Linked DNA regions of Notamacropus eugenii. The protein of the gene in region 1 interacts with the protein of each later gene in a pairwise test. Links are inferred from orthologs where the notes say so. Each region holds a gene or a part of one and is shown in the gene's direction. Other genes may lie near its edges.

What was found. The genes of interacting proteins can lie anywhere in the genome.
Region 2: the proteins of LGALS8 (region 1) and APEH interact in binary tests that used the Homo sapiens proteins (3 or more experiments, as listed by UniProt). The two-hybrid records come from large-scale screens. The link is inferred for Notamacropus eugenii from reciprocal best matches to the Homo sapiens genes LGALS8 and APEH.

Annotation. Positions count from the first base shown.
Region 1 is NC_092873.1:396,204,692-396,212,651, forward strand, and holds the start of LGALS8 (galectin-8), read left to right. Parts: upstream 1-4,920; 5' UTR 4,921-5,150; intron 5,151-7,333; 5' UTR 7,334-7,601; exon of another isoform or gene 7,602-7,719; intron 7,720-7,960.
Region 2 is NC_092872.1:6,242,358-6,250,213, reverse strand, and holds the start of APEH (acylamino-acid-releasing enzyme), read left to right. Parts: upstream 1-4,798; 5' UTR 4,799-4,885; coding exon 4,886-4,897; intron 4,898-4,981; coding exon 4,982-5,114; intron 5,115-6,293; coding exon 6,294-6,420; intron 6,421-7,514; coding exon 7,515-7,608; intron 7,609-7,856. UniProt on the Homo sapiens protein: This enzyme catalyzes the hydrolysis of the N-terminal peptide bond of an N-acetylated peptide to generate an N-acetylated amino acid and a peptide with a free N-terminus. It preferentially cleaves off Ac-Ala, Ac-Met and Ac-Ser.

The DNA of each region.
Region 1 (7,960 bases):
AATTAAAATGTTAAAAAAAAAAAAAGAAATCCATCCAAACTCAAGGTCAAGGCCAATATAACTTGAGGAATATCCAGCCTGAATGAATACCTCAGTCCCCTAAAGTTCCATGTCAGTGTTCCTGTGGGCAGGGCCAAGCCTATGTTTTTCTGATAAATCACAGGATCATAGAATTGTTACTAGATCGTCTAGTCCAATCCCTTCCTTTTTACCGATGAAGAACTGGAGCCCTAGAGAGGTTAGGTAACTCACCCAAGATCCCACAGTAAATGGCAGAGCTGGGATTTGAACTGAATTTCTCCAAATCTGAATCCTACAGATCCAAATTCCACTGTTCTACCGTACCTCTTCACATTTCATCAGCCTAGCTTGTTATTATAAAAATATAATGAAAAGTAATGACTACCTTTTTTTTAAAGAAAGTTATATAATGTCACTACTTCTGACGGGCCTGGTTTTTAAATAGTCTAAGTCAATAACATTTTTATTATCTCTATAGATACACAGGTTCATAGGATCATAGATTTAGACCTGGAGAGAATCTCAGAGGTCACCTAATCCAACCAATTCATTTTACAAAATGGGAAAATGAGGCCTAAAAAAAATGAAGTGACTTCCCAAAGTCCATGTAGTAAACTAGTGGATGAATCTTTAAAAAATGTATTTTGGTTTTTTACACTGCCATAATTTCTCCCAGTATCCTCCTTCCCCTCCCAGAGAACTATTCCATATAAAAAATAGTATTTTTAAAGATAGGAAAAGAAAAAAGAAAAGGACAAAAATCAGAATAACTGATCAATGCGCTGAAAAAAATCTGAAAATACATGCAATGTGTAACACGTGTGCACCTCCCATCTCCTCAAAGAGGCATGTGTGATGGAAATGTCTTGTCCTGTCTCTTCTTTTGAGACATGGGTGTATTTTATAATTTTGCAAGATTCACTTTTGATTTTTTATATTATTGCTCTTTCCATTTATACTGTTGTATACAGCGTGTGTATTATTTCTTGACTCTAGAAGATGTATCTTAATTAGAACCCATGTCTTTTGACTCCCAACCTGTTTCTACGCTTCTTTTTAAAAAGAGAGACTCAGGAATTTCCTCACACACTCTAATAGGCTGAACTTGTGAGCCTAGTGTCAGAAAGTGGTGCAAATCACACCTTTCACTAGACCCAAATAGGTGGTACCCTCTTCTGGAGATCTCTGGAGTGACTGCCAGTGGTAGTGGCTACATAAGCAAGAATGTTGTCTCTCTGAACCTGGGCAGAACTCGACCAGACTTGTGAATGGAAGTGATTGGATAGGGTTCTGACAGCATGGTTACATTCCACTCTCCTTTTCTTCAGTGCATCATTTTTCTACCCTTGTCTAATAATGCTGGAATTGGAATTCCTGTGAGCAGGTCCAGGAGAAAGATTTGCCTCACAAAGGGAGAACAAGAAATTTTCCCTTGCAAATATGAGTGAAGAGTTATTTATCATCCTTACTCCTGCTGGTGTTTGGAAAGAGGCATTCATCCCTGTCACCTCATGTGATAAAATTAATGAGTAAACCCTAGAATAAAAAAAGATTAAGCTAAATTGTACACAGAGGCAATAGTCAATCTTTCTATGTAGCACAAATGTCACCATGAAACTTCTTAACCCACAACACTTGGGACTAAAGAAGCATCAATCATTGGTTGAGATTTTGTGGGATATATTTTCCCAGAGGACTGTTTATGTGCCTGTGTGATGACATCACTAGGCAGAGAGCTAGGAAGTGTGCTCTTACATCAGAGGTTTTAAAGGAGTCTGCTGGGTGAAGGGAATAGACCTGGAGAGATAAGTCAGCACAGACCACTGTGAAGCAGTATAAGCATCGTGGCTCTGGAAATAGGAGTTATAGCTGGACCATCATACTCCAGAACTGAGACAAAAACTTTCAGCCAGCTTTCCAGTACACTGCAAGAAATGGCTGAAAAGGATGGGATGGAGATAAGCATTTATATAGAGACTACTATGTGCTAGGCACTTTACAATTATCATCTCGTTTGATCTTCACAGGAACCCTGAGGTGTGGGTGCTGCTATTATCCTTATTTTACAGTTGAGGAAACTGAGACAAAAAGGTTGTCTCCCCAGTAATAAGTGAGTGAGATTGGATTTGAACCCAAGTCTTCCTAACTCCAGGTATCTCTCCCTCCTTCTATTTACCTAACTGCCTCAGGTCGATGACATTGTACTGTGAACATTTACCGTTGAAGCTATGAGATCAAATGAGATCATATATGTAAAACACTTTGCAAACCTTAAAATGCCACATAAATGTTAGCGATTATGGTGAAGACGATGGTGGTGGTGGTGGTGGTGGGTAGTGATGATGGTGATGATGTTGAGGATGATGAAGATGTGACTGTCTCCCACTATGCTAGGGAATCAGGAATTAAAGAATTAGACTGAAATTTCCCTGGACATATAGGATATTGCAGAAAAACAATTTATTGTTTGATTCCTTTCCTTGTTTGTCTTTTTTCACATCTCAGTTAAGAAACTAATAAAACTCTGTTTGCCTCACATCTACAAAATGAGCTGGAAAAGCAAATGATAAACCACTCTAATATCTTTGCTAAGAAAACTTTAAACGGAGTCACAAAAAGTTGGACATAACTGAAAAATGATGAAACAACAACTGCAAAATGCTTAATACTTGTGGACTCACTATCTTGTATTGTATGTAAATATTATTATGATGTAGTGAAAGAGAGAAATTTTTCACTGGATTGGGGTTTGACTTGTGTTCACTAGTCTGTTTACCCCAAACAGCCACATTAAATGTGGGAATAGCATGAGGTGCTACAAGCATACCCATACAAACATCATGCTCAATAGGAGATTTTTAAGACACCTTTTTAAAATTAATGATGACACCATTTTTCTATTCACAATTCACAGCACATTTGTAGAAACTTGTAATAGCTGCCTTTTATGAACCCAAATGTATATAGAATATCCCATAAGTCTTAGTAAAGTTTAGAGCTATTAAGCCTTAAAACTACACTAAGACTATTGGGACACCCTGCATTTACTAGCATCCCCCGTAACCAACTCTGATCTTATTCCTATATGCTGGACTACACACCTTTTATTACTAAAGACTTCATTGGTTTTCATTGGGGTAACTGAATTGCTTCCATTTGAATTGTCTTAGGAAGATTCTAAGGATCACCTGGCAGGATAAGGTACCAGACACTGAAGTCCTTGCTCAAGCTGAACTGCCAAGCATTCAAACCATGCTTCAACTCCAGTGGGCTGGCCACGTTGTTCAAATGCAAAATGTACGATTGCCAAAAAGACTATTTTATGGAGAACTCGCATAGGGCAAGCAATCACATGGTGATCAGAAGAAGCGATACAAGGACACTCAAGTTCTCTCTCAAAAAGTTTGAATTTGATTGTGCAACATGGGAGACACTGGCGCAGGACCTCTCAGCATGGCATGTCCACATCAGAAAGGGTGCTGTGCTCTTTGAGCAAAGCAGAATTGAGACAGCACAAAGGAAATGTAGGATGCATGAATTTGGGGTATCCACCCCAAATATTCACACAGACTATCTATGCCCAACCTGTGATAGAGCATTCTGAGCTTGTGCTGGTCTGATCAGCCACAGACAGACACACTGAATTTTCATGTTATTATGGTGATGTCATTGTGGTCTTCTTCGAAAACGAAGGACAACAACCAACCAACCAACCATTTTCTTTGAAGTTCAAGGTGCTGATTCCCCTGAACTAGATGAATGATATATGTGCTTGGTTAAAGGAATGATACATGTGCTTGATTAAAGTGATTGTTAACCCCTCAAAAGCTGCCTTTCCTTTTATGAATGCAGATCTAAGAACCTGTGATAGCAGGCCTCCCTGTGTGTGTTGGGGTGCTTACTGACACAGTCTTCAAGAATGGCTGTGGCTGAAAAAGTCATTACTCTGAGGCCAACCTAGAGATTCCTTCTGAGGTCCAAATCTAAATATATGATCCTATGATTTATTTAAAACTTTGGTGTTTTCCAGTGAGGTAGGTAGTACAAGTATTATTACTCCCATTTTGAAGATGAGGAAACCGAGGCACAGAAAAAATACGAAGTGACTACTAGGGATACATAGCTGGTCAGAGTCAGCCCAAATTCTAGGTATAACTGAAGAGGTTTGGGGGTGCTTGGGGGTACTGGGACCCAAAAATGCCAGGGTAGAGTTCCCTGGAATGAATTCACATGCTCAAGCCGTCTTTTAGTCAAGAGGCAGTTTATCATAGAATAACAGAAGCCAATAGAAGAGGGCAAGAGTCCTTATAGAACCTACAAGAGACTGAGGATAGTGTTGGGTTTTATATGGAAAAGGGGCATGGAGAAGGAATGCCAGGGTAGATAATTTAAGGGTCCAGGTGTCCTTGGGAATTATGGATGGGAAAGTGTAGGGAGTATGCCAGACATTGAAGGAGAAAAGAAAGTTGTGTTTTTTGTTGTTTTTGTTGAGTTGCCAGAGGCATGGACCTTGGGCAAGCACCACAGACAAGATCCTTGGGCAGGCACCCTGGGAAAGAGTCCTTGGATCAGTATCCCTGTCTCTGTCTTAGTAAAGGAATTAAAGAGGGAGGCATGCAACAAGGGAAAATTTTCTCACAAAAGGAGTGGGGTGGAGCTGGGTTACTTTCAGAGAAGTGGTTTTAGAGCTTTTGCGGGTCCACATCCCACCTCCCCATCATAACTCTAAGCCAAATGTTTTGTTGGGGTTTTTTTTAATTGCATCATGCTCTCAAGGACATATCTTCATTCTTCTGGTATCGTCTAATGTAGGTAATTCTCAAGATCTTGTCCAGCCCTGAGATTCTCTGATTCTATGACATATAGCCCAAGGTTCTAGAACTTCGTGTCCTGAACGTCACTATAGGACTCAAGGGGAACATAAGTGGTATGTTTTCCACACCAAAGTCCAAGAAGGACAGAGTGAGGAGCAAAAGAAGTTTGGAGAAAGATCTCTTCTTAAGGATTCTTCTCTGGTGGCATCAGATTTGTAGAGATGATAGGATGTGTTGAACCTGACCTAAGAAAGGTGGATAGAATGAAAGAGATTGAGTCTGGCCAGACTGGAGAGGATTAATCCAGAGAAGCAGGTAAGATCAGTGAAATTTCCAAGAAAGGAAAAAAGAAATAAGAAATGTTAAAGGTTATGGTTTAACAAGTAAACTTGAACAAGGAAGGAAGAGACAGAGACAAAGACAGAGAGAGAGAGAGAGAGAGAGAGAGAGAGAGAGAGAGAGAGAGAGAGAGAGAGAAACTAAAAAAAGAAAGGCAAAAAAGTGATTCTAGTCTGTGGCAATGTTTCCTTCCTTTAAACTCTTGTGAGTTATTTTCAGTGGAATTCATTTGACAATCACACGTAGTCTTGCAACATCCCTTCTATTAACTGAACTACTCAAATCTTTCACCATCATGTGACTAGTCACATGCTGGTGCCTTGTTTCCCGCCTAAAGGGTAGGTGCCCCTGGAACACAGGCATTGCCTCTCTCTGGAGCCTCAGAGCACCTAGCACATAAGAAGTAATCAATACATATATGCAATTTGAAAGGGGAATGAGAAAGTAAAGCAAGGTCCAGGGCCCAGTGGGGAACAAGATGTGCCAGTGAGGAATATTTTGTAGCACTTATTCTCAGGAAGGACTAAAGTACAAATTCGGGGCTAGCTTGTCTGCCTGATCACTTGATTCAATCCTATGTTCCTACCTCTGAAGTCCTAAAATCATAGATCCTGAGCTGGAAAAAACTTTAGACATCTGCAAGTTCAACCCCTTCATTTCACGGATGAGAAAACTGAGACTCAGAGAGATTAAGTGACATCTGGCTCGTTTATTTTATCTAATATATGTCTGGGTCTGGATTGAATCTGGGTCTTTTGGACTGCAAGTCTGCCACTATCCACTAGACAACCGTTCCCCTCAAGTTACCTCTTTTAAGCTACCACCATCTCCAGAAAGATTTCCCTTTCCTAATTATCTAGGCAAAAATGAGCTGTTCCTCTTTGCACTTTTATCTGGATTTTACTTTCTCAGAGTCATTGTTTATTTAAACTACCCTCCTTCCTTCCCGTTTCCTTCCCTCCTTCCCCGCCCCCCATTTAGATCTTAAGCCCCTTGAGAATAGTATTTGTCATAGCTATCTTTGTGATTCCAGCTTCTAGCAGAGGGTGCTCTTCTTTCAGTCTCCCCCTCCATGCCAGACAAGCTCTTTGTCTGGCTCACTCTCTCCCCACTCCCTCCTCCGGCTGTGGCATTTTCAGCAGTGACTTTGCAGTGTTCTGGAGTCTCATTCCACTGGTGTCCTGAAGTTCATTGTGTCTCATTTTCTTGCATTCCTTCTCCAAACTTGAGTTTTTGTGCTTGCTCGCTGGCCGTAAGCAATGGATGTAGCAGTCAGTTGACATTTTTAAAGTTTCCCTTATGTGCCACGCACTGGGTTAAGCAATTGGGATACAAAGATAGGCAAATAAAAAATAAAAGAAAGCCATATAGTAATTAAGAAAATGTTAATAAGTAACCTTGATAAATAATTAAAATGTAGCAATTAAAAGCTCATTGATGAACCTGGGGAGAATAGTGGACAGTTAGATTGTGAGGGACTGAGGAATTAGTTGGGAAGGTTCCAATTTCAATCCAATGTTTTTCCAGTATGCAGTGCTGCCTCTCATAGCTATCTCTGGCTAGGTTCCTTTTAAGCAAAATAATTAGCCTCTGTAAACCTGATTAAAAGTATATTTTTTTTCCTTTTAGAGACTTCACTGTATTTTATCTTACAGCACAGGAGGGTAAGAGCAGTTAATACAATGTCAAATAATGGAAGAATATAAATTTAAAATTTGTGAATTACGATTTCTTTTTCTGCTCTAATGACAGAGTCCTGAGGGCCATTTCAGAAAAAAGCAAACAAAACCAAACTATAAAGACAGACAGACACACAGACAGACCATTCATTGCTAAGGCGTCAGATCACTGGTCCCCATCAGGTTAAGATGGCTAAGCAAAGAGAATATGACCAGAGCTGATTGGCTGGTGCTGTCATGATCAAAGGGCCGCTGTCCTGGGATTCTTGGGAATTCAGTGAGCTAGTTAGTGCCAGGATGCTAGAGAAGAAGGGACAAGTTACTTATTATTTACTCTATCTCCCTTCCACCCCACCTGCCTGCCTCTAGTTAGAAAGCAAACCTTATACAGTAGCAGATTTGCTTATTATTACTGTTATGACTTTTTAATACTATGTTTCTGCTTCTCCGCGAATGTGCCTTTGCTCATTTTGAAACTAGAACCGGCCGGACTTCCAGGAAGCTTGGGCCGTCAGGTCCGTTCCCCAGCTCAGCGGAGTGCGAAAGTAGAAAAGTGGCAGACTGCATACAGACTCTCTTAACTCTGCTTCTGGGCGATGACGTCACTGTGCAGGGACGCGAGAACCAGGAACTGGAAGCTGACTCATTTTTGCTCTCCTTTGCCACCCGGACACAACTAAGTAATACCTTCAGACCTGCTGGAAAAACAAGCTTCTGCTGGAATCTTCTGGAGGGTGGAGGGCGCAGGGTAAGTAAGACAAGAAATGTATGTTCCTGAGCCATGATGACTGTGCTGTGGCTGTGAGAGAGCTGGGAGAATTAGTACAGGACTAGATCTGTGGACAGCGCCCTCTGACACTGTCGAGGTAGGATAATGAAAAGCTTTAGAAAGACGACGTCCCCTAATTCACTATTTATTTGTTTGGATCTGGCTGCTACTGCTGGAGAGTTTTCCCTGTGCCAGGTCTGGTAACAAGTTACTTTGCAACGGGGAGGGGGGGGTAACTTGAAATGCAACTCTCCCTAAATTTCTTGCCTCTGTTAAGAGGGAAGATTTCCAGCATGTAGTGTTCCCCACAGTTCCCTCTACGCATCAGGAATTGGATT
Region 2 (7,856 bases), on another chromosome or scaffold:
CTTGAGGATGCCACCATCCTTCCAGTAACCCATTCTCCCCACTCCTTCCTTTCCCTCACCCCACATAGTCAATCAAGTTGCCAAATCTTATCATTTCCAACCTCCTTGTATCCATTCCCTTCTCTCCAATCACACAACCACTCACCTACTTCAGGTCTTCATCACCTCTCACCTGGACTATTAAAATAGCCTCCTAAGTAACCTCCCCATCCCAAGTCTCTTCCTATTTCAGTCCATCATCCACACAGCTGCCAACATGATTTTCCTAAAGCTCAGGGGTGATCGTGTCATTCCCCTACTCAATAAACTCTAATGTCTCCCTGTTACCTATAGGATCAAATCAAAACTCTTCTGTTTGGCATTTAAACCCTTTCACCACCTGGATTCATCCTCTCTCTTTAGTTTTATCACTCCCCTTCACACTTACTACCCTCCGGCTAAACTGTTCATCTTACAGTTACTCAGATGTGCCAGCTAACTCCATGTCTTTGAACTGGCTGTCCCTCATATCTGAAATGTAATCCCTGCCCAGCTAGGTGGGGCAGTGGATAGTGCACTGGACTTGGTGGAGTCAGGAAGTCCAGAGTTCAAATGTAGCCTCAGACACTTAACAGCTGTGGGAACTTGAGCAAGTTACTTAAAACTCTCTGCCTTAGTTTCCTCCAATGTAAAATGAGTTTAGTAGCAACCACCTCCCAGGGTTGTTGTGAGGATCAAATGAGATAGTGCCTGGTCCACAGTAGATGCTGTTTAAATGTTAGCTATTTATTATTATTACCTTTGATCCTTAGAATCCCTTGTTTCTTCCAGGCTCAGCTCGAGCCACCTTCTCCTGAAGGCTCCAAACGAAGCCTTTCCTGATCCCCCTGGTTACTAATGCCTTCCTCCCAATATTTTCTTGTATCTATCATGCTTCTGTTTTGCATATTCCTATCTATATGTATGTTTGTATCCATTCACTAGATTGTAAGCTCCTCAAGGACTGATTCACTCTTACCTTTATATTCCCAGCACCTACCATAGTATTCATGGTGCAACCAAGGTTGCAAACATAAGCAATCATGTTATGGCTTGGTCTGTTTATTGATCCCTCAGGCACTGGAAAGCTCTGGGTCACTGAGACCTCAACAGATACCTTAGAAAACTGGCTGAATGGGTTCAGTAATTTGCCTTGGTAAACTTGTGATGTCTTATCTAGAAGACCCAGGAGGTCTGATCTGTATCTGCCTAAGATGTAGCTCCATGTAGCCCCTACCCCCACCTGATCTTTGACTAATGAACTGATTAATCATTAATCCCCCTGGAAGGGGGGGGGGGAGGGCTTTGTCCTTGGCCCTACCATTCCACACTTTTATCAACTACTTAGATAATGGCATATCTGGCATTCTTATGAAATCATGGAAGAAATGAAGCTGAGTAGACTAACTCTATATATTAGACAACAGTTTCAAAATCTATTACGTGTTTCTGAATTTAAGGAAGAGAAACACAGCTCATAGTCCCAGGGAATTTACCTTTTTTAAGTTATTAAAAGAAGATCTCTTAACAGTTTGAGATGCAGCCACCTTAGACCCTTTCTTTATAATCCCTAACATATCAGAGCAAGGATAAGCTTTCCTAGGCCTAGCAGTGCCTTGCCCATAGAAGACACTTAACAAACGTTCCTTGAATTCATTAACTTGAATCGCTGAACTGACCCGAGTGGCTCCTAAATATTGGGGCATATGCTATTTTATGCTCAGGAGCAAACAAAAGGAGCTGGTCTCCTTTACACTGCACCAGCACAGGGTAAACAGGCTCAGGAACATTGGGAATGCCCATCAGGAGTAAGGGACTGGGGGAATTCTTTTGGGGCTTAGTGGTTGCACCTATCCATTCCTGGGATATCCCCTGGGAGAAGAGGTCTAGACTACTTTAGTAAATGAAAAAATCTCAGTAGGCTGGAGCAGTGAGCAAATCCAAAAGAGACAGAACATTTCATAGGAATTAATGTAAAGTTCTATATTTAGGTTCAAAAAAATCAACTATACAGGTCCAGAATGGGGAAGAAATGTCTAGACTGTTACACATGAAAAGACCCTAGAATTTTTCAAGAACTCTAAGGACCATGTGAATCAATAGCTAGAAAAAGAGTTAATAGTTACATATTTCATAGATTATAGAGCCATAAATCTGGAAATGGAAGGGACTTTGGAGGCCAACCCCATCAATTACAGATGATGAAACCAAGACCCCGGGGAGGTTCACCTACTCACCCAAAGTCACACAAGTGCAATGTCAGATGCTGGGAATACAAAGAAAGGCAAAACCAGTTCCTTCAGGCCATACAAAGGAAGGAGGCAGTGTGTCCAATTCCAAAATGGGCCAGTATGGCTAGATTGTAGACCTCGAGGAAGTAAGTCAATACTGAAAAGCTAGAAGGGGGCAAGGTTATGAAGAGTTTCAGGGGTCCAACAAAAGACATCTGATCCTGAGGTTAATAAGGAGCTAGTGAAATTTATTTAATAGGGAGGTGACACAGGAAGAACTCCATTTTGGAAAATCATTTTAACAGCTGAGTGGAGGATGGATCAGTCTGGGGAAAGACTTGAGGAAGGAAAATCCATTAAAAGGCTATTTCAGTAATCCAGAAAAGAGGTGATGAGAGTCAGAAGTAGGGTAGTAGCTGTAGGAATGCAGAGACAAGTGTGTTGTAAAGGTAGAAATGACAAGATTTGCCCACTGAATGGATAGGGGAGATGGGTATGAGCAGGGAGGCCAGGTTGATGTCAAAGTTGCAAACATGGGTGACCAGGAAGATGGTGATACCCTTGACAATAACAGGGCATATTTAAGGGCATTTGTAATGAGTTCTGTTTGGGAAATATTGAGTTTGAGATGTGTATTAGACATCCAATTTGAAATGTCCAGTAGACGGTTGGTGATGTGTTTTGGAGCTCAGCAGATAAATGAGGGTTGATATATAGATCCAGGAATCATCTGCATACAGATGATAATTGAACTTTGGGGAGCTAATGAGATAGTAGAAAGACAAAGAAGAAGAACAGAGCCTATGACAGCATTTAGCACAGGGCCCCAGTGCTTGGCACAATGGCTCATTTTGGGTCTCAGGAAATCTTTATATTCCCTTATTGGGAACTGCAAAGAGCTTTTGTTTATGTGGGTTACATCTACCAATATTTACTGTATTAGGAATTAAAACTAATCATTTAAAACATTTTCTTATTAATTCATTTAAAATAACAATAATGAACCCACCATATGTTAACAAAAATAACATTTTTTATGAAAAATAACCATAATTTCCAAAACAAAAACAAATTTAGTGAGAAGAGTAGTATTATTTTACTCATTTGTAAATCTCTTTAACTTCTAGCTTAATAGAAGACAAATGGATTCTCAAATCTGCTTTTGCATTCCATCTGTTATGATATATTGTTTTAAAGTATATGAAGAAAATCCAGCTTTACAAAAATGTGAAGTTGGATAAGAGGAGTATTTTAATAGCCTTTCCACATCGTTGTGGATATCTTCTCTGATGCTATGCCAAAACTCAACAGGTGCTAGTTTCTTAAAGGTTAGTTGCAAAGGAAACTGTATCAGTGAACTTTTCATGCTCTGTTACATTAAAACCCAATGTATCTTGCACTTCAAATGGATATTTTACTCGCGTGATTTTATAGCGTGGAAATTTGGAAATTATTGCTCCATTAAATCATGCAGAGCTTCCAAACGTTGACACATTTCATTACATAATATCTCCCCAAAACCACATTTGTTAATATCATTACGCCCCTCGTCTGAAAAGCCACAAAATCCCTAAGTCATCACTAAGAACGGTTATCTAAGTTATCTAAGGCCTGAGTCCTCCTCTGTAGGACCAGGACAGAGTCCACTCCAAGGTTAAGATCTTATGTCCTGGGAAGGGCCTGGAGCTCACCCAAAGATAAAAGCATGGAACTTTCCAAGTACGGAAGGAGTTTGCCACCTCGCTCTGAGATGATTATTTCCTAATATAATGATATGAAAATAAGGAGATGAAGTCCTTTCTCCGCCTCCTAGCTGCCCTGGCTTCCTTCTCCTCTCAGGCGAAGCTGCCCCTTTTGCAGACAGCCTTTCCCGGTTCTGTTCGATGAGGTGCTGGCCCATTTTATCCTGTCTCCGTCTCATTGTACGTAGCTGCCCGTGCCTTGCCTCTGCCGCTAGACTGATCCTCAGGAGAGCCGGGTTTCGCCTTCATTGGCGTCTCCTGTGCCTAGCTCGGAGCGCTCAGACCAGTACTGGCGGGCCGGAGGGGCTGAGGCTGCTGAGAAGACGCGTCATCCCCAGTTCTGGGAGAGGACGGGACCCTCAGGGGGGGCTGTCTGGGTTTGGACTGAACTGGATTGGAGGGAGCTAGGGCTGTACACAGTCACCAGCCTCACTCTTCCTCCGGAGCCACCTGGGTCCGGTGGCAGGATACAGAACAGGACGACTGGATCTTTACACACCGACAGGCCACGCCAGCCCCCTGAACGTCCAGGGCCCGGACAAACCGAAGGGGCGGGCCTGGCTGGAGGAAAGGTGCCCACCAACCAGAAGAGCCTTGTCCCTGAAGCCCCGCCCCTCAGGAGAGGGCCAGAGAGCAGTGGGCGTGTCTTTTGGTGGGGCGGGGCCTGGCCGTACGGAGAGCGGCGGAGATTGGTGAGAAAGCAGTCCGACTCCGCCTTCCCTGAGCCGCACCCACTCCGGGCCCACCTCCCCCTCCTATTGGGGCGCCCCGCGGAGGGGGCGGGTCCTAGCCGAGCCCTTTGCCCTAGGGCGCTGCGGAAATGCGCGCCCCAGCTCCCCGGGCACTTCCGGGCCGCGCAGCGTCCCCGCCCCCGGACGCTCGGGAGACGCCTCCATGGAGCGACAGGTACGGGCTCGGCGCCCTTCAGCTCCGGTTCGGCTGCCTCCCGCTCTGCTGCCGCGGCCTGACCCGTGTGTTCCCCCCGCGCAGGTGCTGACGAGCGAGCCGGACGAGGCCGCGGCGCTGTACCGCGCGCTGAGCCGCCACCCCGCGCTGGTCTCCGCCGGCCTGGGTGCCGAGATCACCAGCCAGTACGGTGGCAAGTACCGCACGGTGCACACAGGTGCCGCACGGGGAGGGGCAGGGAGGCCCCGAGGGGCCTGCGGGCACGTGGACGGCGCGCGATCCGGGGATCCAGGGACCCAAGGGTGCGGGGCGGGCGTGACGGCCGCGGAGAGGAAGGCGGCTGGGGGGTGTGGCCCCGGGGGACGCGGAAAACCGAGGCCGGAGATGGGGCTGGGGGTCACGGCCGTGGCGGGGCCCGGAGATCGGGCTGGGGGTCACGGCCGTGGCGGGGCCGGAGGCCGTGGGCGGGGCCGGGAGATCGGGCTGGGGGTCACGGCCGTGGCGGGGCCCGGAGATGGGGCTGGGGGTCACGGCCGTGGCGGGGCCCGGAGATCGGGCTGGGGGTCACGGCCGTGGCGGGGCCGGAGGCCGTGGGCGGGGCCGGGAGATCGGGCTGGGGGTCACGGCCGTGGCGGGGCCCGGAGATGGGGCTGGGGGTCACGGCCGTGGCGGGGCCCGGAGATCGGGCTGGGGGTCACGGCCGTGGCGGGCCCGGAGATGGGGCTGGGGGTCACGGCCGTGGCGGGGCCGGAGGCCGTGGGCGGGGCCGGGAGATCGGGCTGGGGGTCACGGCCGAGGTGGGGCCCGGAGATCGGGCTGGGGGTCACGGCCGTGGCGGGGCCCGGAGATCGGGCTGGGGGGGCTGGGGGTCACGGCTGAGGTGGGGCCCGGAGAGCGGGCTGGGGGTCACGGCCGTGGCGGGCCCGGAGATCGGGCTGGGGGTCACGGCCGAGGTGGGGCCCGGAGATCGGGCTGGGGGTCACGGCCGTGGCGGGGCCCGGAGATCGGGCTGGGGGTCACGGCCGTGGCGGGGCCCGGAGATCGGGCTGGGGGTCACGGCCGTGGCGGGCCCGGAGATCGGGCTGGGGGTCACGGCCGAGGTGGGGCCCGGAGATCGGGCTGGGGGTCACGGCCGTGGGCGGTGCCCGGGATGACCTCGTGAGCTAGGAGGACTTCCAGCCAGTTCTCCCACGTTTGGACTTGTCCGTAAAGTGGCGGCGTTGTACTGGCTGAACCTCCACGTTCTCCTTCAGCTTTAACGCTCGCGTTCAATGGCCTGGTGGCCTCTTCGGCAGGATGACGCTGCGGGGACTGGGGGGGAAAGGGCTTGGGCTGGGAGGCGGGGATGAAAAACCAGGCCGAACTGGGGCTGCAGAGTCCGGGCTTCCCCTTACAGAATGGACCCAGCGAGACCTGGATCGGATGGAGAGTATCCGGTTCTGCCGCCAGTATCTCGTGTTCCACGATGGTGGCTCTGTGGTGTTTTCTGGACCTGCGGGCAACAGCATTGAAACCAAGGGGGAGTAAGTGTTAGGGGAATAGCCCCGGTACCTCCAGCTGCAGGGATGCTTGTTCAGAGGCTCCTAATCCTACTTCTCCCAAGCCTTCGTTTCTGGGCTGCATCCATGGGATATGTCACAGTAGCCACTGGATAAGCTGGCTGATTCTACTTTCAGTATTTCCTATGGTAGGACCTGATGCATCTCAGTTTTATTGACTAAATATGTCCAACTACTTGCAGGTCTTTCTATGGGAGGTAAGGCTCCCCTCCCAGAGTTTACAGTTTATAAACTGCCACCAGGTCTAGAGAGACTCTGTGTGTCTCTCTAAAGAGAGACAGAATTTCAAAAGATAAAAGAATTAAAGAAAAATTAATGCTAAACTGTTCAGCACTGACTTTTTCCTGTTCTTTACATTTTTCCAGACCTCTCCTCATCTCCAAGAGTCTCGAAGTCATTCAAAACTGCCATTCACAAACTTTTCTGTCTCCAAGGCGCTTCCCTTCCGTCCTTGCCTTCCCTTTCTAAAACTCCTTCACACTGACTGAACTGGTTTTTGCCTTCATGGGGACCTCTAGGCCTCAACTCCTCCCTGACCTCCCATCTTGAATCCTAGGATCAAAAATATCATTGCCTTTTTTATTAGCACCCAAAACTTCATGATTCTCTTGCCTTCTTACTAATCAGTTAAGTGGTATATAAATTATAAATGTGCTAACAGTTCAGAGAAGGGAGGTAGCCTTTGATACCCAAGTAGTTGAAGGAGTTGGGATTTGAACCAAGTCTTGAAGGTTGGGTTGGATTTCAATTTTTGTTTGAGTTTATGGCTCATCGTGTTTTATCTGTGAGAAGTCCCAGCCCAACAAGAAGTTACTTTTTTAAAATCAAATGTTATTATTTTAATGAACAGAAATCTATTTTATCTCCCTCTCACTTTTCACCCCACTGAAAAAGAAAAAAAGAAAAAACAAATTCCTTGCAGCAAATAAGTATAGTCAAACAAAATTCAGGAAGAATTATTTTTTGATAAGAATTAATCCTGTGAGCTGGCAACCGCCCAACAGACAGAACTAGCTTTGGGCAGGGTCAGGAATCATCTGGTGGTGATGTTCCCACAGGCTGCTGAGCAGGGATTCCCCCTCAGGAGCACTGAAGGCTGTGCTGCGAAAGACTGGGAGTTCAAAGACTGGGGAAGAGAAACAGTTCCTGGAGGCAAGTCTTGTCATAGGAGCTTGGTTACACTGGGTGTGGTTCTGTAGGGCCTGTTGGCAGGACGTGGCTTTATCTTTGACAAGGTGGAGGGTTCTCTTTGAGGGCCAGAGTGAGGGAAAATCTAATAGATAAGACATGTAAGGGCAGGAGGTGGTCCTGGGGATCTTCCCTTTTTCATAGAAAATGACTAAGCCAGGCAAAAAAACCAAACCAAACAACCGTAAAACCAGAGAGTGATTTTGCTGCTT